Elephas maximus indicus: one gene and its partners. The protein of the gene in region 3 interacts with the protein of the main gene of each other region in a pairwise test. Links are inferred from orthologs where the notes say so. Each region holds a gene or a part of one and is shown on either strand. Other genes may lie near its edges.

Region 1 (7,405 bases), on a different chromosome or scaffold from region 3:
TCTGGAACTACTTTGTGCATGTTCTAGGACCAAGAAAATCAGTAAATATATCCAGGACAATGGGAGCCAGGCTCAGAGAAAGGATCACAAACCAGGCAAGGGAAAGTAGCACAAGCCCTGTGGTAATGGATGGGAACTGAAGGTGTCAGTGCAAATTCATAGGTACACAGATGTAGAAATAGACAGGTGTGTATGATATATACAAAGATGTATTTCCCTGCTCTGTCCCTTGAGAAGGCCAAGGAGCAATGACACCCCAGAAGCAGCGAGCACACCCAGTACCCAGATGTCTAAACACCGTCCTCAACTAAAAGGAACTAGAGAATAGCTGATTCCAGGGCTAGTCCAGGAGAGCACAAGATGAGCCTGGGACATCTGTGGTACCAGAAAGTAAAGAAGTGCTCCGGAAGAGGACCCAGAGGCCAACCTGAAGGGCTCCCAATGGCCAAATATGGGACAATCCAACCAACAAAATCAATGATAGTACTAGATTACAACCCATGGAATAAAATCACAATCCATGAGTTACGGACTAGTACACATACCCTACACAAAATACATAGACTAATATACGAATAGCTGGAGCCCTGGTGACCCTGTGGTTAAGAGCTCGGCTGTTAACCAAAAGACCAGCAGTTCAACTCCACCAGCCGCTCCTTGGAAACCCTATGGGGCAGCTCTACTCTGACCTACAGGGTCACCACTCAACAGCAATGGGTTTTTTTTTTTTTTTTAATATATGAATATATAAAAAATACACCAATACACAAAAATAAATGAATAAATAGATAAATGGGGGAGACGGGAAGGTTCTTCCTTACAGTTGTTGTTAGGTACCATGGAGTCAGTTCCGACTCATAGTGACCTTACAGTAGAATTTCAAATTACAAATGTAGAACGAATATGGAATAGACAGATATACATTAACAGCTGCTTCAGGCAAAACTCAGCTCATGATGCTAAAGCTAATGGTAGGAAGAACAGCGTGAAACAAGATACTTCCATAGTCTCAAAATATTCCCTCACAGATATATTTATCATTTACAAGAGAGAACAGCAACTGTACAGTGGAGAGGCCTGGCAGACGCGCTCACACCAAGTGATCGAAGTCAGCATCACCACGAATGGGACCAGTCAGTGTCACAGGCCTCCTGACAAGCTACACTGAGAAAAACACTGCTTCGCTTTTGAGATTTCCTTACATCAAAGGAAACTGAAACCAAGGGGCATCCTACAAAATTGCTAGCTAGAGCTCTGCAAATGTGTCAGGGTTGTGAAAGACACAGAGGCCGAGGAAAGGCTGCCGATTGAAGAAGGCGAAGAAAACACAGCAGCTAAACGCAAGGCGCAGCCACAACAACGGACTCAAACACACCAACGATGGTCAACGTGGTGCGGGACCAGGTGACGTTCCGTTCCGTTGTGCCTAAGGTAACCCTGAGTCGGAGAAACTCGATGGCAACAACCAGCCACCACCACCACCACCACAAAAGCAATGCAGGGTCCTGGACTGGATCCTGGGTCAGAGTGAAGTCCTCACAGAGATAGCTGCTAAGTTTGAATACAGCCTGGTACCCCTCGCCTTCGAGTCGACTCAGACTCATCGCGACCCTATAGGACAGAACAGAACTGCCTCCGTGGAATATCCAAAGAGCACCTGGTGGATTCAAACTGCCGACCTTTTGGTTAGCAGCGGTAGCACTTAACCACTACACCACCAGGGTTTCCTACCGCCTGATATCAATGTTAATTTCCTGACTTTTGGTACGTGAACTGTGTAAGAAGTTAACATTTTTTAGGAAACTGCTTGAAAAGTGCTCAGAAATTCTTTGTACTATTTTTGCAACTTTTCTGTAGGTCCTAAATAACTGGGGGGGGGGGGGGGGGTGGGTCAGACTCTGGAGCCAGACTGCCTAGGGTTGGCCCCCTTTACTGGCTGTAGAACTTGGGCAAATGATCTTATTTCTGTGTGTGGCACCTTCATCGTCTGTAAAAAGGCAATAACCATGCCCTGCCATCAGGTTATTGGGTTTGTTTTTTTTTTCCCCAAATAACGACAAAACACAAAGCACTATAGCAGGAAGCTTCGGTGCCAGGTTCCCATCCTTCCACCCGCACTTCATCAACCCAGGAAGTAATAGCAGTGTCGTCTACCACTGGGAGCAGAGAGGGGGAAGAAGGGCAAACAGCAGTCAGTGAGCTTCCGGGGCGCTCGGGTGGACCCGCGCTGTTCCAGCATTCTGCTGTTGTTGTTCCAGGCCTTGCAGTCGGTTCCGACTCACAGCGACCCTGTGCACAAAAGGAAACACTGCCCGGTCCTGCGCTATGCCCACAATCGCTGCTACGTCCGAGCCCACTGTTGCAGCCACTGTGTCAATCCTTCTCGTTGAGAGTCTCTTTTTTGCTGACCCTCCACTTTCCCAAGTGTGATGTCCTTCTCCAGGGACAGGTCCCTCCCGACAACATGTCCAAAGCAGTAAGACCGACTAGAACCAGAATGTTCCAGCATTCTAGCTGATACTATGTCCCCACTTCACAGGTGAGGGTGAAGAACTGTCCGGGCCGCGCCTGGCCGCGCCGGCGGACCCCGAGCCCGAGCCCGGCCGCGCCGGCGGACCCCGAGCCCGAGCCCGGCCGCGCCGGCGGACCCCGAGCCCGAGCCCGGCCGCGCCGGCGGACCCCGAGCCCGAGCCCGGCCGCGCCGGCGGACCCCGAGCCCGAGCCCGGCCGCGCCGGCGGACCCCGAGCCCGAGCCCGGCCGCGCCGGGGCGGTCACCGTCGGACACCGCGTTCCTGAGGAGCGATGTCCCCCGAGACGTGGAGGTCACGGGCTTCTGCACAGAGTGTGGCCAGCAGGCGGCGATCTGCAGGCCGAGGACGCGGTCCTCGCACGTTACCCGCCCCGGCGACCCTGTCTCTCCGCCGCGTCCGGGTCGCCAAGCCCCGCTCCTCCCCGTCCCCGCGCCGCGGCTCACCGGGATCTTCTGTCCGCCGCTGCCGCCAGTCCCCCCGCGTTGCCATGACGACTCGGTCCTTCGGCCGCGGCCGGGCGCGCTCCGTGCGCCGCTGGGCTCCGCCGGGCGGAAACGCGAACCCCGGCTCCGGGTTCCGGCTCGCGGCCGCCGCCACTCAAAACAACGAAGAGGAGTCCCGGGAAAAGGGCCTGGGCGACAGCCTGCCCGGCTCCCCCGGCCTGCTGCCTCGTACACTTAGCCCGGGCCGGCTTCCGCACCAGTCCGTGGGCCCCTCAGGACAGAGCTCCTGTTCGAGGGGAGCGGCCGCTGGTCGCCGGGTCCGCTCCAGGACCGGGTGCACCAAAGGGTGCCCGCGCTACCTCGCCCCGGCCCGGCCCCCAGAGCCACAGCACATCGGGGGCCAAGTCCATGTCCCGCAGTGAGCCCAGGCCTGGGGCCGGGAGATCCCACGGAGCGGACACAGCCCTCGGTGGCAATGAGGTCCCGGCAGAGGGGACAGCGCCCCTTCCGTGGGTCGGGGTCTGCGTCCTGGCCCTGCGTGCCTCAGTGGGGCCAACCTGCGAAGTGGGGTCGACGAGAGCTCTGCACACTCCCTGACCCTGTGGTGACTGTGACCATCCCTGCAGCCCAGCCAAGGGTGCCAGGCCCTCAAGCTTCACAGCTGGCTGACCAAGAACTTGGGCTCCGGGACCTCGATTCCTGAGTTCTAATCCCAGTCTGACTTGGTCGAGGATGTTATAGATTGAATTGTGTCCCCCAAAAATGTTTGTCAACTTGGCTAGGCCATGATTCCCAGTATCATGTCATTGTTCACCATTTTGTCATCTGCTGTGATCTCCCTGTTGTTAGGTGCCATCAAGTCAGTTCTGACTCATAGAGACCCTATGAATGAAACACTGCCCAGTCCTGCACCATCCTCACAATCATTCTGCTTAAACCCTCTGTTGCAGCCACTGTGTCAATTCATCTCATTTAGGGTCTTCCTCTTTTTCGCCAACCCTCTATTTTACCAAGCATGATGTCCTTCTCCAGGGACTGATCCCTCTTGACAACATGACCAAAGTATGTGAGACACAGCCTTGCCATCCGTGCTTCTAAGGAGCATTCTGGCTGTACTTCTTCTAAGATAGATTTGTTCATCCTTTTGGCAGTCCATGGTATATTCAAGATTCTTCACCAACACAATTCAGAGGTATCAACTCTTCTTCAGTCTTCTTTATTCATTGTCCAGCTTTCACCTGCATAGAAGGGGGTTGAAAACACCATGGTTTGGGTCATGAGCACCATAGTCTTCAGGGTGACATCTTTGCTCTTCAGCACTTTGAAGAGGTCCTTTGCAGCAGATTTGCCCAATGCAATGCGTCTTTTGATTTCTTGACTGCTGCTTCCATGGCTGTTGATTGTGGACCCAAGTAAAATTAAATCCTTGACAGCTTCAATCTTTTCTCCATTTATCATGATGTTGCTTATTGGTCCAGTTGTGGGGATTTTTGTTTTCTTTATGTTGAGGTGTAATCCATACTGAAGGCTGTGGTCTTCGATCTTCATCAGTAAGTGCTTCAAGTCCTCATCACTTTCAGCAAGCAAGGTTGTGTCATCTGCATAAGGCAGGTTGTTAATGAGTCTTCCTCCAGCTTCTCGTATTATTTGCTCAGCATACAGACTGAATAGGTATGGTGAAAGGATATAACCCTGACACACCCCTTTCCTGACTTTAAACCATGCAGTCTCCCCTTGTTCTGTTCCATCAGCTGCCTCTTAGTCTCTGTACAGGTTCTGCATGAGCACAATTCAGTGCTCTGGAATTCCCATTCTTTGCAATGTTATTCATACTCTGTTATGATCCACACAGACAAAAAACTTTGCATAGTCAATAAAACACAGGTAATATTTCTGGTATTCTCTGCTTTACAGGTAGGATCCATCTGACATCAGCAATGATATCCCTTGTTCCATATCCTCTTCTGAATCCAGCTTGAATTTCTGGCAGTTCCCTGTCAATGTACTGCTGTAGCCATTTTTGAATTATCTTCAGCAGAATTTTACTTGCAAAAAAAACACCCAGTTTTTTTTTTTTTTTTTTGCAGTGTGACATAAATGATATTGTTCAATAATTTTCACGTTCTGCTGGATCTCCTTTCTTTGGAATGGGCACAAATATGGATCTCTTCCTGTTGGCTGGCCAGGTAGTTGTCTTCCAAATTTCTTGGCATAGACAAGTGTGTACTTCCAGTGCTGTATCCGTTTGTTGAAACTTTTCAGTTGGTATTCCATCAATTCCTGGAGCCTTGTTTTTCACCCATGCCTTCAGTGCAACTTGGATTTCTTCCTTCAGTACCATTGGTTCCTGCTTATATGGTACTTCCTGAAATGGTTGAACATCAACCAATTCTTTCTGGTATAATGACTGTGTATTTCTTCTATCTTCTTTTGATGCTTCCTGAGTCATTTGATATTTTCCCCATTGAATCCTTCAATATTGCAACTGAAGGCTTTAATTTTTTTTTCAGTTCTTTCAATTTGATAAATGCAGAAAGCGTTCTTGCCTTTTGGTTTTCCATCTCCAGCTCTTTCCACATGTCATTATAATACTTTACTTTGTCTTCTAGAGCTGCCCTTTGAAATCTTCTGTTCAACTCTTTTACTTCATCATTTCTTCCTTTCGCTTTAGCTACTCAACGTTCAAAAGCAAGTTTCGGAGTCTCTTCTGACGTCCATCTTGGTCTTTTCTTTCTTTCCTGTCTTTTTAATGACCTGTTGCTTTCTTCATGTATGATATCCTTGATGTCGTTCCACACAACTCGTCTGGTCTTTTGGTCACGAGTGTTCAACACATCAAATCTGTTCTTGAGATGGTCTCTAAATTCAGGTGGGATATACTCAAGGTCATACTTTGGCTCTCGTCAACTTGTTCTAATTTTCTTCAGTTTCACCTTGAACTTGCATATGAGCAACTGATGGTCTGTTCCACAGTCAGCCCCTGGTCTTGTTTTGACTGATGATATTGAGCTTTTCTATTGTCTCTTTCCACAGATGTAGTCGATTTGATTCCTGTGTATTCCACCTGGAGAAGGCCATGTGTATAGTTGCCATTTATATTGGTGAAAAAACGGTATTTGCAATGAAGAAGTCATTGGTCTAGCAAAATTCTGTCATGTGATCTCCAACATCATTTCTATCACCAAGGTCATATTTTTCAAGTACCAATCCTTCTTCTTTGTTTCTGACTTTTGAATTCCAATCTCCAGTAACTATCAATGCATCTTGGTTGCCTGTTCGATCAATTTCAGACTGCAAAAGCTGGTAAAAATCTTCAATTTCTTCATTTTTGGCCTCAGTGGTTGGTGTGTAAATTTGAATAATAGTCCTATTAACTGGTCTTCCTTATAGGCATATGGATATTATCCTATCACTGACAGCATTGTACTTCAGGATAGATAATGTAATGTTCTTTTTCATGGTGAATGCAACACAATTCCTCTTTGTCATTCCTGGCATAGTAGACCATATGATTGTCCAATTCAAAATGGCCAATACCAGTCCATTTCAGCTCATTAATGGCTAGGACCTTCCCATGTGTTGAAAATCCTACTTCTATGATGTTAATGAGGCAGGAGTCAATCTACAAGGTTAGGCTGTGTCTTGAGTCAATGCCTTTTGAGACATTAAAGAGAGAAGCCAGCAGAGAGACAGGGGGACCTCTTGCCACCAAGAATGAAGGACCAGGAGGGGAGCATGTCTTTTGGACCCGAGGTCCTTGTGCTGAGAAGCTTCTAGACCCGGGGGAAGATTGATGACAAGGACCTTCCCCCAGAGCCGACAGAGAGAGAAAGCCTTCTCCTGGATCTGTTGCCCTGAAACTGGACTTCTAGTCTCCTAAACTGCAAGAGAATAAATTTTCCTTTGTTAAAGCAATTCACTTGTGGTATTTCTGTTATAGCAGCACTAGAAAACTAAGGGGAGGACCCCGACCCAGGGTGACCCCGTGCACAACGCTGCTAACCTTAAATATGACCCTGTTTGGGAATAAGGGGTTTTCTTTTGTCATGTTAACGAAGGCACACCAGCATAGGGTGAGTCCTAAACCTAATCTGAGGGGTGTCTCATAAAAAGAGCAAAATAGACACAGAGACACACAGGGGAAAATAGACACCACGTGAGGATCATCTGCGAGCCCAGACCCTGATTTGGACTTTCAGCCTCCAGAACTGTGAGAAAACAAATTTCTGTACTTGTGGCATTTGGGTTACAGCAGCTCTAGGTAACTAAGACAGTTCTGTAACTTGCCCCTGTTTACCGACAAGCAAACCGAAGTATTGTACTGCCCAGCACAGCGATGTCGACACACGTCAGCTGGTTCCATCATCCATGGCGCAAACAAGGGAAGAGGAAGGCCAAAAGGCCATCACCTGGGGGGTTGGGCCTGCAGC
Region 2 (6,351 bases), on a different chromosome or scaffold from region 3:
TTTCACTTCAGACTTGCCGTGTGAGGTTGGCACAGTTTCACCCTTTCCCTGGGTTTCAGTTTTCCCATCTGTAAAACTCAGAAACACTGCTGGAAAGTCCTTATTCATTTAGTCAATGAGTATGTCTAGAGCACCTTCTGTGTGCCAATTACTGGTCAGAACTCTCACTGAACTCCCAGTGCAGGGGAAAGCCAGACAATTAAAACAGCATTTACAGTGAAGTGTGTGGGCTTTGTCTACCCAAGATTCCATCCTGCTCCTCTTTTCTAATCTCACTTTCTAAGGCTCTGATCGCTAAGCATTCCCTAAGCAGAGAGCAGTCCCGCTTCCCTTGCTCTTTGCATCAAGCCCAGGGACTTCCATGGAGCAGGGCTGGTGCCTACACAGGTCCTTAAATGGCCCATGAGGGGGAAAGTGCTGTGGAGCAGGGGGCAGGCCTTTGTCCCACTGGAGCTCTGGGTCTGCAATCTCTAAGGGTGCCGCTTGGGCTATTGAGGGTGGGAATGAGGCTAAAAACTCGGGGGGGGGAGGGGCACAGGGCTGCCCAAACCACTGGTACCCAGGTACCCAGGCTTGCCCACCCCCAGTTCCTGGGCATAGAGCCAGAATGATGGAGAGAGCCCAGGCCGACCCTCCAGGGTTTATTACTTCCAGCGGCACTCGGCCACAAGGAGTCTCAGTGGCATCGACCAAGCCTAGGCACGATCCCAGGTCCCTTCCGGTTTCAGTGGGAAACGGCTGGTCAGCGGTCTGGTCCTCAGGAATCTAGAATCCACAAGGTAATGTGGGAGAGTGGACAGTGAGGTGGGGCCCGCCCTCCACTTCCCAGTCCACGCCCTCCTACCAGCCAGGCATCGGGTTAGGCAGTCCCACACCTTCGGACTCATCCGCTGGCTCACAGTCAAGATCCGGCTCTGGGTCGGGCTCTTGCTCCAATTCAGGCTCTGGTTCTGCCTCTGGTTCAGGTTCCGGATTCATTTGGGGCTCTGGGTCCAGCTCAGCCCCTTCAGAAGCCTCGGCTTCCAGCTCCGGCTTGGGGTCCTCGGAGATCCGGGATTGCACCGCTTCGGAGCCCTCGAGACCCCCAGCCTCATCCCAGCCAGAAGTTCTGGGCAGTCCGGGGCATGCCGTCCCCGAGTCGGGTGTCTCAGGCATCCAGTGGCCCGGGCACGGAGGGTCGTAGCTGCGGTCCCGGTAACCTGGGGCGGAGGTGGGCGTGTCTCAGGCTCAATTTACCCTTTCTCTCTTTCCTCTGCAGCCACTGGTACTCCTCATTGGAAGACAACTCCGGCCCCGGCTTAGCTTTTGCCCCGCCCCCGGGTCGCGCCCCGCCCCCTGCTCTGCCCTAGGCCCGGCCCCACGAGCTCTCACCAGGGCCCACGTGCTGCCAGTCCCAAGCCGGGTCAGGTGCGCGCGCGGTACGCTGAGCACAGCTCAGTAGCTCGTTGCAGGCGATCTCGCCCTTGCTCTGCACCAGCAGCAACAGCCGGCGCATCCTGCGCTCGGCATCAGGCAGAGCGTCCAACGCCTCGTACTCCGCCCCAGTGAGCACGCCCCGCGCCAGCAATGCGTCCAGCAGCAGCCCGGAGTCTGCCTGCAGTGTCTCTACCAGGCGTTTCCGTTCGCGGTCGATCGTCTCCGACGGCCGCTCCTGCGCGTTGCCCATGGTCCAGGCTGCATGGTGACGGGGGAGAGGGGTAATGGGCGCCAGGGGTCCCCCGCCCCTCACCTCTCTCCCGGGGCTCCAGTGAACTGCCAAGGCTGGGGCCAAAATTCACCTTGACCTTGACTAGCCAGGTTCGTCAGCTGCGCGGGACCTGGAGGCCACTGCATTGAGCTCCTTGTCTTCCTGCCTTTTGGGCCGCTTTGTCCTGTCCCTTCTTCCGTTTCTCTAAATGTCACCTGTGGCCTCGCTCACCTCTCTCCCCAACCGGGACTTCCTGAACCCCAGCCACCTGCGCTCCCCACCACCCTCCGCCGCCGCCGCCGCAAATCTCGCCATCGGTTCAGACCCAGTTTATCCAAACTGACCCCTTTCTCTTTCCCAAACTTGCTTCTCCGCTTCAACAGACAGAAAGACCTAGGATTGACCCCAGATACCCCACACCCAGCTCTCTGTCAGGTCCTTTCCACTCTGCTGAATATCTCCTCATCTCCACCACTTACTTTGTCTGGTCTCTTCAGAATCCTCCCTCCGGGCTCTCTGCCTCCATACTCTCCCCTCTGCATTCAAAACCCAAAGTCTTTTCACTTGCTGGAAGAAGTCCAGAGCCCTTACTCTGACCTTGAGGTCATCTTTCCAGACCAGGCCCAGCCCCTGCACTGCCCCCCACCACACCACCACTGTGGTGCAACCCCCAATGTGGTCTCCTAGTCCTTCCTGGTTCCCTGATACCTGAGCAGGAATACCTGAATCCTCTTGAGTCCCAGCTCTGACCATGATTTCCTGACATCACCTGAGACACAACTGTCTCCCCACTGGTCTGGGAGTGACTCACAGACATCTTTGCTTCTTGGCATCTCCGGGGACCAGCAGATAAAAGCTACCGATAAATGTTTCCCAAACTTTTACTGTTTTCCTCCCTGTCTTGGTTTCGTCGCCACCCACCCCCCGGTCTCCTTCTCCCTTTGAGGTCCCTCCTCTACCTTGTTCTAGGCATCTGGGCCTTGTTGGGAAGAGAGAATTTGGTCCTAGCCCCCATCCTGCCTTACAGGTCTCTCCCTCCAGCCCCTGGTATTATACTGTCTCCAATGCCTCCGCTGATCATTTAACCCCTCTTAGCCATATGGAAGTGTCAGCTCCTCCCCTAGGCCACTGAAGAGAGACTAGGACTACCCATCTCCCCCTTCCGGTCTCAACCATGACAAGTGTTGTTGCTCCATCTCTCAGTGAGTCTCTATCAGCCACCCCCACCCCCAGCCCCACCATCATTGCCTCATTTCCTGTAACAGCCCCTCTGGGCACCTCACTCCCACTCTGTCACCCCCACAGCCTAGGATTTATCATTCCCGTTTTACAGATGAGAGAGGCACAGAGAGAGCAAGTGGCAGAGCTGGAATCTGACTTGCTGTATGTAGCCTGAATGCCTGGCAGAAAGTCAGCCCTAACCACCTGCTGTCCACCTTCCACTGCTCATCAGAGAGAGACCAGACCACCTGGCCTGGCTGCTCTAGCTACTCCCCCACCCCCCACACACAGAGCTAGGCCTTTCCCCACTTCCCTCTTCCACTCAGTGCTCCCAGAACTTGCCAAGCCCCTGGCACGTCTGAGCCTGTGCAGATGTTCCTTAAGTCTGGAATGCCTTTTCCCTCCCTCCACCTGGTGAACCTATTTTCCAAGACTCAAATGTTCCCTTATCCACTCCAGTGCTAAGTCTCCCAAAGGCCGATTGGTTCCTTCTGCGAGCACCAGGGAACACCATATACCCCCACCACTGTGTAGTTAGTTAACTGACATCGCTGAACTGTGTGACAGGAAGACCCTCTGCCCTCTTCAGCTGAGGGCTTCCAATGACGGACCTCAATCATTGGGGGAGTGAGAAGAGGGGATCAGCATCTACCCTGGACAGGGAGGGAGGGTGCGATTGGACTGGCCTGCCCTCCTTCCTATTAGCCTCCTCCTCCCATTACCCCAAGTCCTGCCCTTTGTCCTGTCTGGGAAGCAGAGACCCCTCTGGTCGGAGCCCTTCCTCTATAGCCCTCACTGCTCAGAAGGAAACACCGAAGCTACCTCGCTGCCCTTTGGCCTCAGAGCCAGCCCTTCAAGATCCTAGGCCAGATTATTCCCGGAGCGCCAAGCGACCCCAGGCGCAAGCAGAGCAGCAGGGTCCCGGTTCCTCCCTCGCCCCGGCGCATACTCTTGCAAGCGAGGGTCTTGGGGAAACGGCGGGAGCCTTTGCGCATGTGCGCCGGCAAGGATGCCCTTACCTCTCCTCCACCCAGTCCCTGGGTTTAAGAGTCTTGCGGAGGGGCGGGGCTCACCGACCTCCTCAGAGCCTAATCTCAGTTTCTCTTCCCTCCCTCCAGCTGAGTGGGGTGGGGCTCCCCGTCCCGTCCGCTCAGGGCGGCCCCACTCACGGGTCGAGCCTCAGTCACGCAGGAGATGACAGTGCAGAAAATGCTGGGCCGCGGGGAGGGGGAGGACAACAGCTGCGCCGGGGGCGGGGCGGCCAGGGCTGCTGGGAGCCGGTAGTCTGTTTTCTCTCCCCACCGGGTGTGCGCCCGGAGATGAGTCAGAGGGGGGTAGGGGGAGGGACAGTTCGGCCCGCGGCCCCACGTGCCCAGGGCCCACTTTACACCAATATTCTCCTCGACCGCTCCTCTCTGTGTGTCACAGATGATGCTCAGAGAAAACAGTCTAGGGTCACACAGCGTATGCATTGCGGAGTCGGGTCTGACCCAGAAACCCCGCTTCCCGGAGGTCTCAGCGATTGCTCATCAGCTCAGGATCAGGGCCTAGGTAGGAGGGCTAGAGGCGGGCTCCCCAAGCACCTACACCCGCATCGGGGGTTCCTCTATTAAAACCCTAAGATCTGGACGCTTCTACGAGTGCAAAGTCGCCCCCCACCTACGACTTCTGTGCTTCCTGGTCGGTAGAGAAAAGAGGCCAGAAACTGAGAAAAATGCAGTTTTATATGCAGGGCTAGGCGGGGGAATGGAGAGCGGCCGCCGAGTAGCGCGGGCTTCGCTCAGCCTCCGCCAGGGGGCGCCAGGAAGCCGAGAGGGGCGTGCTGCCTGGGACCAGTCCCTCGGCCCAGCCAGCTCCAGAAGGCAGGGGCTCTCAAGGAGAGGGACTGGTTCCTGGGCCCAGGTAGGAGGCCCGGCTCTCGGGGGTGCCATAAATGGTTAAAGCCCCAGGCAGGCCGAGGGCTGGGCCTCCCAAACCCGCCGGAACATCCAGCAGGAGCGGCCTCCCGGGCGTGGGATCCTTGCCTAGGAAGAGTGGAGGCAAGCTCAGCAGACAAAAAAAAAAAGATTCGCCTCCTTTCTTTGGAGAAGGACCGCCCTGCCCTCCCTGCCCGCCCTGCCCTCGGTACAGTTAGGATGGGACATCTATTCACAGTCTCCCCACTCTCACCCAGTGATGAGTGGGTGGGTGGCTGGGGTCTCTCTCTACAGAACAGCCTGAATTCAGAAGGCTTTCCTCCAAAACACAGACTTGCCCAGTCACCAAATCATGATCACTCAGAGTAATCATGACCTCCCCCCAGGCCCTGAGTCACCCCAACCATTACCTGGGCCCTGTGAATTTAACCCCTTGACTGACAGCTCAGCGGCACCTCTCTCTGGAATCAAGGGCTGCATCTGCATGGGAGAACCCCAGGAAGCAGCTGTGGGGCGGGGGGAGGGGAGTGCTGGGATCTAAAGAGGAGAGCTGGGGAATCCTCTGGACTCTGGGGCAGTCCTCCTCAGCCATGCCTTTGGCTCAGAGAGAGCAGTAGCCATGGACCACAGGGCTTGATTCAGCAGTCCCTAGGCCCTTGTCTTCCAATCTCACCCCTGTCTTACCAGGGACAGCTCCATGTCCAAGTCCATCAGGGTCCACTCTCGACTTGAGAGGCTGGGGCCCAGCACCTGAGGGGAGCTTGGGGTCAGTGGTGCCCTCCCCAAGCTGCACAGAGAGCTAGGCCCTACTGGACCCTATGCCCCTGCCCCAGGCTGGAGGGGTACTCACATCCAGGGGCCCTGCAGGCTCCAGACTTTCTGGGGTACCCCGAAGGAGCATTGGAGGCAGTAGACCCTCTGGGCTTTGGCTCCCCCGCTCCAGGCCCAGAGACTCCCTGTGCACAAAGAACTGTTGTTGGCCTGCAGAGCCCACCCATCCCCTCATTAGGTTCCCCCACCCCCACCCTAGAAAACACTAGGACAGGAGTCTCCAAGGGACTCATAGAGAGTACTTCGGTCTCCTACCTGGGGCCTGAGGTTTGGGTTGTGGGGCCGGGGTCTTGGGAAATGTCCCCTCCCTATGCTGCAAGTGTCAATACCAGTGGTTCTTAAACTATTGTGCACATCACGATCACCTCAGTGAACTTGTTTAAAATGCAAATTCCTGAGTCCTTCCACAGAGATGTTGATTGACCTGAACAGGAGCCAGAAATTCTGTATTTTAATAAGCTTCCAACTTTCCAGGGGACTCTGATGCCGGTGCTCCTTGGAGCACTCTCTGGGAAGTCAGGTCAGGATCATGGACAAAGTGCCTAACCTTCCCCTGGGCCACCAAGGGGCAGAGAAGGTTGGAAAGTTTCTCCAGCTGGTAAGTGCTGCTCTGTCTGCAAAAGTAGCCCACATGGGGTTCGCAGTCACAAACAGGCTATGCTTACCTGTCAGGGACCTCCCTGGGGCCCCTTGGTT
Region 3 (7,131 bases):
TGGCCAGGCCTAGAGGGTGACAACAGGACCCTGCAGAACAGGGTGAAGGTTGCTGGGAGGCGTGAGCTACAAAGGTGAAACGTCCTCCCCTCCCCACCACCCTCAACTAGGAAATTCATGCTTACCGCCCAAGATTGATTTATTGCAAAGTTAATTTCGGCCCCTCTGCTGCTCCCACTTTTTCAGGCTATTGATGCTGAATGGATTGGAACAGAAGTTTTATGGCCTAATCTTTACCATTTTATAGATTGTTTTTATAGGCACAAGGGGGAGACTTGCTCACAAGAAGGGTGGTGGTGTTCCCAGCCAGCACCCCTGGAAAGGCAGGTTGCCCGTCTGAACACTTGTTAATCAGCACCACCGCTCATTTGCCAAGGACTGAACCACAGGGTCTAGTCGGAGAAGGGTCTGGAATAGACATTTAGAAATTAACTTGGGCCCAGTTCCCAGCTTCAGGAAAATTAAGCACTGGTGAGAGAAGCTTATGCATTTCCAGAGCAGGAACTCGGACTTTCGCAGGGGGCAAATGACCAGTTCAGGCAGGAAGGAGCAGATTGGAGATACCACTCACTGAAGACATGAAATATATCAGTACTTCCTCCCACCCTGGTGGCACAGTGGTTAAGTGCTACAGCTGCTAACCAAAGGGGGTGGGCAGTTCGAATCCGCCAGGCGCTCCTTGGAAACTCTACAGGGCAGTTCTACTCTCTCCTGTAGGGTTGCTATGAGTCGAAATCAACTTGATGGCACTGGGTTTGGTTTGGGTTTTCCTCCCACCCAGCAAGGACCCAACTGGAACTGAAAGAGCTGGGGAGGGGGGAGGGGATAGAGGGGGTACCCATGTGGATTCCCAAGGTTCAGGCGAAACTGCAGGGCAGAGAGAAGCTGTTGTCCACCGCCACTTCTCCCTCCACCCACTCTTTGCTAGTTCTCCCTTTTTCCCTGCTATCTGATGGTTACCAGTCTCCAGGCAAATGCGGGGTGGGGGGTAGGGGGGGAAAAGCAGATACTGAGCTCATCCTTACCTCCCTCCTGGAGGGTAGGAGGTACAGAAACTTCTCTGCCAACACAGAGATCTCCATTCTGCCCCCGCTCCCTTACATGCCCAGTTGTCTGAACCCCACACCCTCCCAGGAGACCTGGTGTTTTGCAAAACCCCTTTAAGAAGCGGGACTCGTGAATGGTGACCTCACCTCTTGGCGAATACACACACAGTAGCCTTCAGAGCCCGTCTGCTGGTGACAGCTAGGTGTTTGATGTAGGCCAACAAAAAGACATGCTCAGAGCCACAGGTAACAGCCCCACAGAGCACCTGAGCTGCAGGGAGCTGCCGAGAAGCTGGGGAAGGCAGGAGGAAGTAGGGAGCCCATGGGAAGGAAAGTGGTAGGAAGGGAGAGCAAGGAGCTCAACTAGGCAGCTTTGGCAACCACAGGGACAATCTGGGGTGTTTTCACTTCAGGATCTGTGGTTTGCAGCAGCTCACGCCAGGGTTGCAGCAGCCTCCTCTCCTCTCTTTCTCTCCCCCGCCACATACACTAAGGCTGTTTACTCTGTGTAACAGAGTCCCCTATTCCTGCATTTTTGACAGCCGGTTTCTGTTCCATGCCAGGCAGCCTAGGGATGACCCCTCTCAGACCCAGAAATCAAACATGTGGAAAGGGTAAATCCTGGACCAGAGAGCTTCTAGAGAAGCAGGGCGCCTTGCTCTGAGAACACAGATAGCCTGCTTCCCCCATGGGGCAGGTGCCTGCTGAGCCAACTCATCTGGTATGCCTCAGCGCCGGGTCAGTTCAGTGCTGGCACGGTCAGGGTCAAGACAAACAAGACTACGCGGCAGGGACCTGGGTTCTGTCTTTCTTTGGCTGTGTGACTCTGGGCAAGTGGCTGGCCCTCTCTGGGCCTCAGTTTTCGCATCTGTAGCCCATCTCTCCCCCTAGTACTGATCGACATTAACCGAGGAGCTCCGCGTGGCACTCTGAAAGGCCTGAATCTGCAGTTTGGGGAGGGCAGGGAGGTGCTTACCTGGCCAGGCGCAGGACGCGGCGAGCAGCAGACAGAGCAGCGTCCCGAGGCGGCCGGGGGCCGGGCCGGCGGGCTCCATGGGCCCCGGCTGCGGAGCGAGGAGGGAGAGCGGCCGTGAGTGCGCGTTCGGGCGGGCGCGGGCTGGAGCGGGGAAATGACTAAGGCTCCCCCCTCCTCCCCCTCCGCCTCCCCTCCCGGCCGGGCTGCCCACTCCCCGTACCGACGCCCGGGGCGGTGAGAAGCCGCCGTCCCCGCCGCAATTTTCGTAGAACCCCCCCAGGAGAGACTGAGAGCCGGAGAGGGGAGACCCCAACTGCGCGAGAAATAAAGCCGGAGACGGGTAGAGAGGCGGCGGGGTAAAGAAACAGACCCAAGGGAGCCAGGCAGAGAGCCAGAGACAGGGAGGGAGAGAGAGAGGGAGAGCGCGCGAGAGAGAGGAGTGAGCAAGCAGCGCGCAGACCGAGGCAGAGCGGGAGAGAGGAGGACGGGCGGGCAGCGGCGAGGAGCAGGCACTGCCGCCCAGGCCGCCCCCGCCGCAGCCCACTTGCCCCGCCCGGGCTCCTCCGCGGCGCCGGTCGCTCGCTCGCTCCGGCCTGGAGTCCTGGCCGCTGCCCCCGCCCTCCAGCAGCCCGGCCGCCTCCTCCTTCCCTCTCCTCCTCCCTCTTCCCGCCGGAGGAGGTTGTGGGCTCCGGCCCTCCGCACCTTCCCGCGAGCGCCCGCCTGCGCGCCCGCCGGCCGCGCGCCCCGGGGGAGAGAACGCGCGCGGGCCGCGTGGCGCACCGGGCCGGGGAGGCACCCCCGGCCGGTCCGCGGCCTCGCGCTCCCCGCTTGAGGTCAACTCCGAAGCGCCGGCGGCTCGCCCCCCAGCCCCGAGCCAGCCTGCTCCCCCCGCCGCCTCCACTCACTGCCAGGCTCGGACCTGCGCCGCCTGTGCGGGCTGGAAGACTGTGGACGCGCCGCCGGGGGCTGCCCAGAGGCTGGGCCCCCCGCTCCACTTTGCGCAAACTTGTTTTTCTAAGGTCAGCGCCGCGAGCTGGCGACAGCGTCCTTTTAAGGTGGACTGGGGGAGTCGCGGCTGGCCTCCCCTCGCCTCCGGACTCCACTCCGGCCGCGGACAGTCCCCAGTTAGCCCCAGCTCCCCGCTGGCGAGAGGCTGGGGGCGACGAAAGGGTGTGTGTGTGAGTGTGTGCGAGAGGGTGTGTAGGGGCGGAGGTGGCGCCGCTTTTGCTCCTCCCCGAGTGGCCCTGCCCCTGTGCCCCAAAGCTGAAGGGCCCCTTTCGGGGTTGGGCGCCGGCGAGAGGGGCCCGATTCTTTCACAGCTGGACCGAGGTGAAGGAAAAGCAGGAAGTAAGTGAATGTGGGGGGAGGGGGGAGAGGAAGGAGTGAGTGGTGGTACAAAAATAGCGCGTGTGTAGGAAGGACTTCAGTACCGCCTGGAAAAGAGGCGCTGGAAGGAGAGTGGAGCGAGGAGGGGGGCTGTGGCAGGCAGGCGAGGGGAAGAGTCCGGGTCTCCCCGAGGAGGTGGGTTCTCTGGCCAGGTACCTCTCGGTCTGGCAGTGGGGTAGGCCCTGGCGGGGGTGTGTATTGGGAGGAGCTTGAAGGACTGGGCTCCAGTTAAGGGGAAGACGACAGGCAGTGAGGAAAATGAGGGGCCAGGAGGAGAGCAAGGGAAGAGGCCTGGAAGCTGACAACAGAGCCTTGTCGTGAAAAAAACAATCCCGCGCTCTTGTTCCTTGAGGGAACTCTGTGTTCTCAATGGAAGCCAGGTCAGTGATGGGGAATGGGAGTGCTGTGGACACCTGGCAGAAGGCTCCGGACTTTGGGAGGGGAAGGAGTCCAGGACCTCTGCTAATTGGAGGGCTCTTGAGTTGGAAATAAGCTCGGAGATAACCAATTTTGCTTCCCTATGCAGCGAAGACAGAGTCCACATGGCGTAGCGGTTGAGAGTTCAGCTGGTAACCAAAAGGTCGCAGTTGGAATGCACCAGCGGTCCTTGGAAATCCTATGGGGCAATTTTACACAGTCCTATAGGTTCGCTGGAAACTGTGGTGGTGTAGTGGTTAAGTGCTACGCCTACTAACCAAGAGTTCGGTAGTTCGAATCCGCCATGCGCTCCTGGAAAACCCTGTGGGGCAGTTCTACTCCGTCCTATAGGGTCGCTATGAGTCGCAATGAACTCGACGACAGTGGGTTTGGTTTTTGGTATAGGGTCAAAGTCGACTCCACCACAACTGACAACGGCAACAGTCAGTTAAGTGCTCTGAATGAATCCGGGTTGCGGGGGAGCAGACGGTCAGGGGGAGGCCCAGCCCTGCAGACAGAAACAAATTGAGGCCCACAGAGGGAGTGGACTTACCTAAGGCCACACAGGAAGGCCTGGAGTAGAAACAAGATTTGAATTCCTGATTCTCAAGCTAACAATCCTCTCTTCCTTCCCCACCAGCCTCCTAGTCCAATGCTTGGTCCTGCTGTTATGCTAAGACAGGGAAGCAGGCAGGGTATAGCTACTGAAAGCATGGGCCAGGCTCCCTGGGTTCAAATCCCGCCACCACCTCTTATGAGCAGACTTGGGAAAATAACTTATCCTTTCTGTGCCTCAGTTTCCTTGTATGAAATGAGGCCAACATGAGTAGTGACTAAAGGTTGTTGTGGGAATTAGCAAATTAATGTTTGTAAAACACTTAAAACCGTGCCCAGCACACACCAAGTGCCATATCAGTGTGTGATAAATCAAGTGCTTGACAACAATCCTTGGGCACCCACAGGGTTCTGGGCAGCATTTGAAGTGCAAGGGAATTTTCATTTCTGTGGATGTAGAAGATACAACAGCAGCCCATACTAGGTCCCTGTTAAGAGGAATTTACATTCTCATAGGGGAGACAGGTAAGTAGACAAGTGCAAATAATTAATGAACAACAGAAGGTTGAGCTGAGAGAGTGAGAGGAGAGCTAATTTAGATAAGGGTGGTCAGGTCAGGCCTCCCTCAGAAGCTAGAGGCCGAGTCACATAAAGGGGCAGCAAGCCGAGGACTGGGGGAGAAAGATGTTCCAGGAAGAGGGAATAGCAAATATAAAGGCCCCAGGCTTGTGGTGCAAGTTGTTAAGCACTCAACTCCTAGCTGAAAGGTTGGCAGTTCAAGCCCACCCAGAGGCACCTTGGGAGAGACAGGCCTGGTGATCTGCTTCCAAAAGGTCACAGCCTAGAAAACCCCATGGAGCAGTTCTACTTTGCACACATGGGGTCACCATGAGTCACAATCATCTTGACAGCAGCTGACAGCAACAGGCCAGCTTGGTTGGAGGGGAACAAGTGGAGGGTGAGGAGGGCTGGGCAGCCCTGCAGACCTTGGTAAGGAGCCTAATTTATTACCATTGGAGGACTTTATGCAGGAGAGTGCCATTGCCTGATTTATGTGTTTAAAAGGCCACTCTGGCTGCCAGTGGAGAATGGGTCAGGGAGGGGAGCATGGAAGTGGGGTACCGGTGAGGTCCTCAGCATCTGAGGTGGGCGGCAGGGAAAAGGTTCTGACTCTTCGGGCAGGGCCTGGCTGGGACTATGAAGGTGACCATCACCTGTATCCAGGGGTGCTGAGGAAGGTCAGAGGGGAGGCAGCTCCCTGGCCTGGGCTTCCAGAAGGCTCTGCTGGCTCACTATTCTTTACGACACAGACACGCAGAAACCTGCCCAGGATTAGGAACCTGCCTGGATTAGGGAAGGATAATAATTGAACCACCTGCTATTTATATAGAGCACCTTTGGCAAAAGCGCTCAACAGGGCTTTCTGACACAGGGGTCATTTTCACCCTCACCCCCACTCCAGGAGGGGCCCTGGGCCTTGTTCTCTGGATTCAGAGTCCACATAAAATCACCCTTGGCCGACTGTCAGCCCTGGGAGGTCATTGAGACCAATGGGCAGATGGGTCAAATGAGGTGGAGGAGACACCTTGCCTGAGGTCCTCTAGAGAGATTACGACAAATAATTGATGTGAATCAGCCACCCCCATAGCAGGCTCCTGGGATGCCCTGGATCAAAATAGAACTGTATTCATACATGTGTCATTCATTCATGTACTCAACATTATTTATTCGGCATCTACTATGTGTTGGCCATTGTGCTAGGCATTGAGAGGTAGCAGCTGGAAAAAAAGACAAAAATGTCCTCAAAGAGCTGACATTCTAGTGGGGAAAACAAATCAGCAAGTAAAATATTTAGATGAGGTTAAGTGCTACAGGCGGTAATAAACCAAGGAAGGGGCCCAGGGGTGCCAGTGAAAGGGGTGGGGTGCAATTTAAAAATGGGTCAGGGAAGGCTTCACTGAGGAGGTGGTTTTGAGCAAAAACTGAGAAGAAGGTCTATGGGAAGCCAGAGGCAGCCCCACCGTCCAGTTGTTCCCCATGTGTAACCCACCAACAAATCCTGCTGGCTCTGCCCTCAGGTCTCATCCAGAACCAAACAACTCCCCCTCTGCCACTGCCCCTGGTCTGAGCCCCCAGCTTCTCCCCCTGGGCTCCCTGCTTTCACGCTTGTCCCCTCCTGTCTCTTTTCCCTTCAACAGCCAGAGGGACCCCTTTAGATAAGTCGATCCCGTCCCTTTCCTGTTGTCAGGATCTGCTGGAGGGAGGGAGGATCGGGCCAAGGCTGCCAATTTGACTTATGTGATGTGGGGGAAAAAAAAATGTTTTGAACCTCAGTCTCTTCATCTGTGAAATAGAAATAAAAAGGTCTACCCTGATCTGAACAAGTCGACAAGAGCTAAAGTACAATCTTGACTATATCCTACCTGAATTTTGAGACCATCTCAAGAATAGATTCGACACGTTGAGCACTAGTAACTGAAGACCAGATGAGTTGTGGAATGACATCAAGGACATCATACACGAAGAAAGCAACAGATCATTAAAAAGACAGGAGACAAAGAAAAGACCAAATTTGATATCAGAAGAGACTCTGAAGCTTGCTCATGAACGTCGAGTAGCTAAAGCAAAAGGAAGAAATGATGAAGTAAAAGACCTGAACAGAAGATTTCAAAGGGCAGCTCGAGACGACAAAGTAAAGTATTATAATGATACGAGCAAGGATCTGGAGATAGAAAACCAAAAGGGAAGAAC

What was found.
Region 1: the proteins of tyrosine-protein phosphatase non-receptor type substrate 1-like (region 3) and CCDC57 interact in a two-hybrid assay, tested with the Homo sapiens proteins (2 studies listed by BioGRID). The two-hybrid records come from large-scale screens. The link is inferred for Elephas maximus indicus from reciprocal best matches to the Homo sapiens genes SIRPA and CCDC57.
Region 2: the proteins of tyrosine-protein phosphatase non-receptor type substrate 1-like (region 3) and NOL3 interact in a two-hybrid assay, tested with the Homo sapiens proteins (2 studies listed by BioGRID and IntAct). The two-hybrid records come from large-scale screens. The link is inferred for Elephas maximus indicus from reciprocal best matches to the Homo sapiens genes SIRPA and NOL3.

The regions. Positions count from the first base shown.
Region 1 is NC_064837.1:72,005,914-72,013,318, forward strand, and holds the start of CCDC57 (coiled-coil domain-containing protein 57), read right to left. Parts: upstream 3,086-7,405; 5' UTR 3,022-3,085; coding exon 2,976-3,021; intron 1-2,975. UniProt on the Homo sapiens protein: Pleiotropic regulator of centriole duplication, mitosis, and ciliogenesis. Critical interface between centrosome and microtubule-mediated cellular processes. Centriole duplication protein required for recruitment of CEP63, CEP152, and PLK4 to the centrosome.
Region 2 is NC_064839.1:33,580,432-33,586,782, reverse strand, and holds NOL3 (nucleolar protein 3), read right to left. Parts: upstream 1,939-6,351; 5' UTR 1,834-1,938; coding exon 1,779-1,833; intron 1,675-1,778; coding exon 1,372-1,674; intron 1,200-1,371; coding exon 841-1,199; 3' UTR 766-840; coding exon of another isoform or gene 758-765; 3' UTR 606-757; downstream 1-605. Other genes in the region: HSF4 (heat shock factor protein 4), read right to left, coding at 4,781-4,932, 5,235-5,304, 5,509-5,574, 5,675-5,780, 6,321-6,351.
Region 3 is NC_064843.1:40,315,732-40,322,862, reverse strand, and holds the start of tyrosine-protein phosphatase non-receptor type substrate 1-like, read right to left. Parts: upstream 2,243-7,131; intron 2,137-2,242; coding exon of another isoform or gene 2,102-2,136; coding exon 2,023-2,101; intron 1-2,022. Other genes in the region: translation initiation factor IF-2-like, read left to right, coding at 2,100-2,136, 2,467-3,369. UniProt on the Homo sapiens protein: Immunoglobulin-like cell surface receptor for CD47. Acts as docking protein and induces translocation of PTPN6, PTPN11 and other binding partners from the cytosol to the plasma membrane.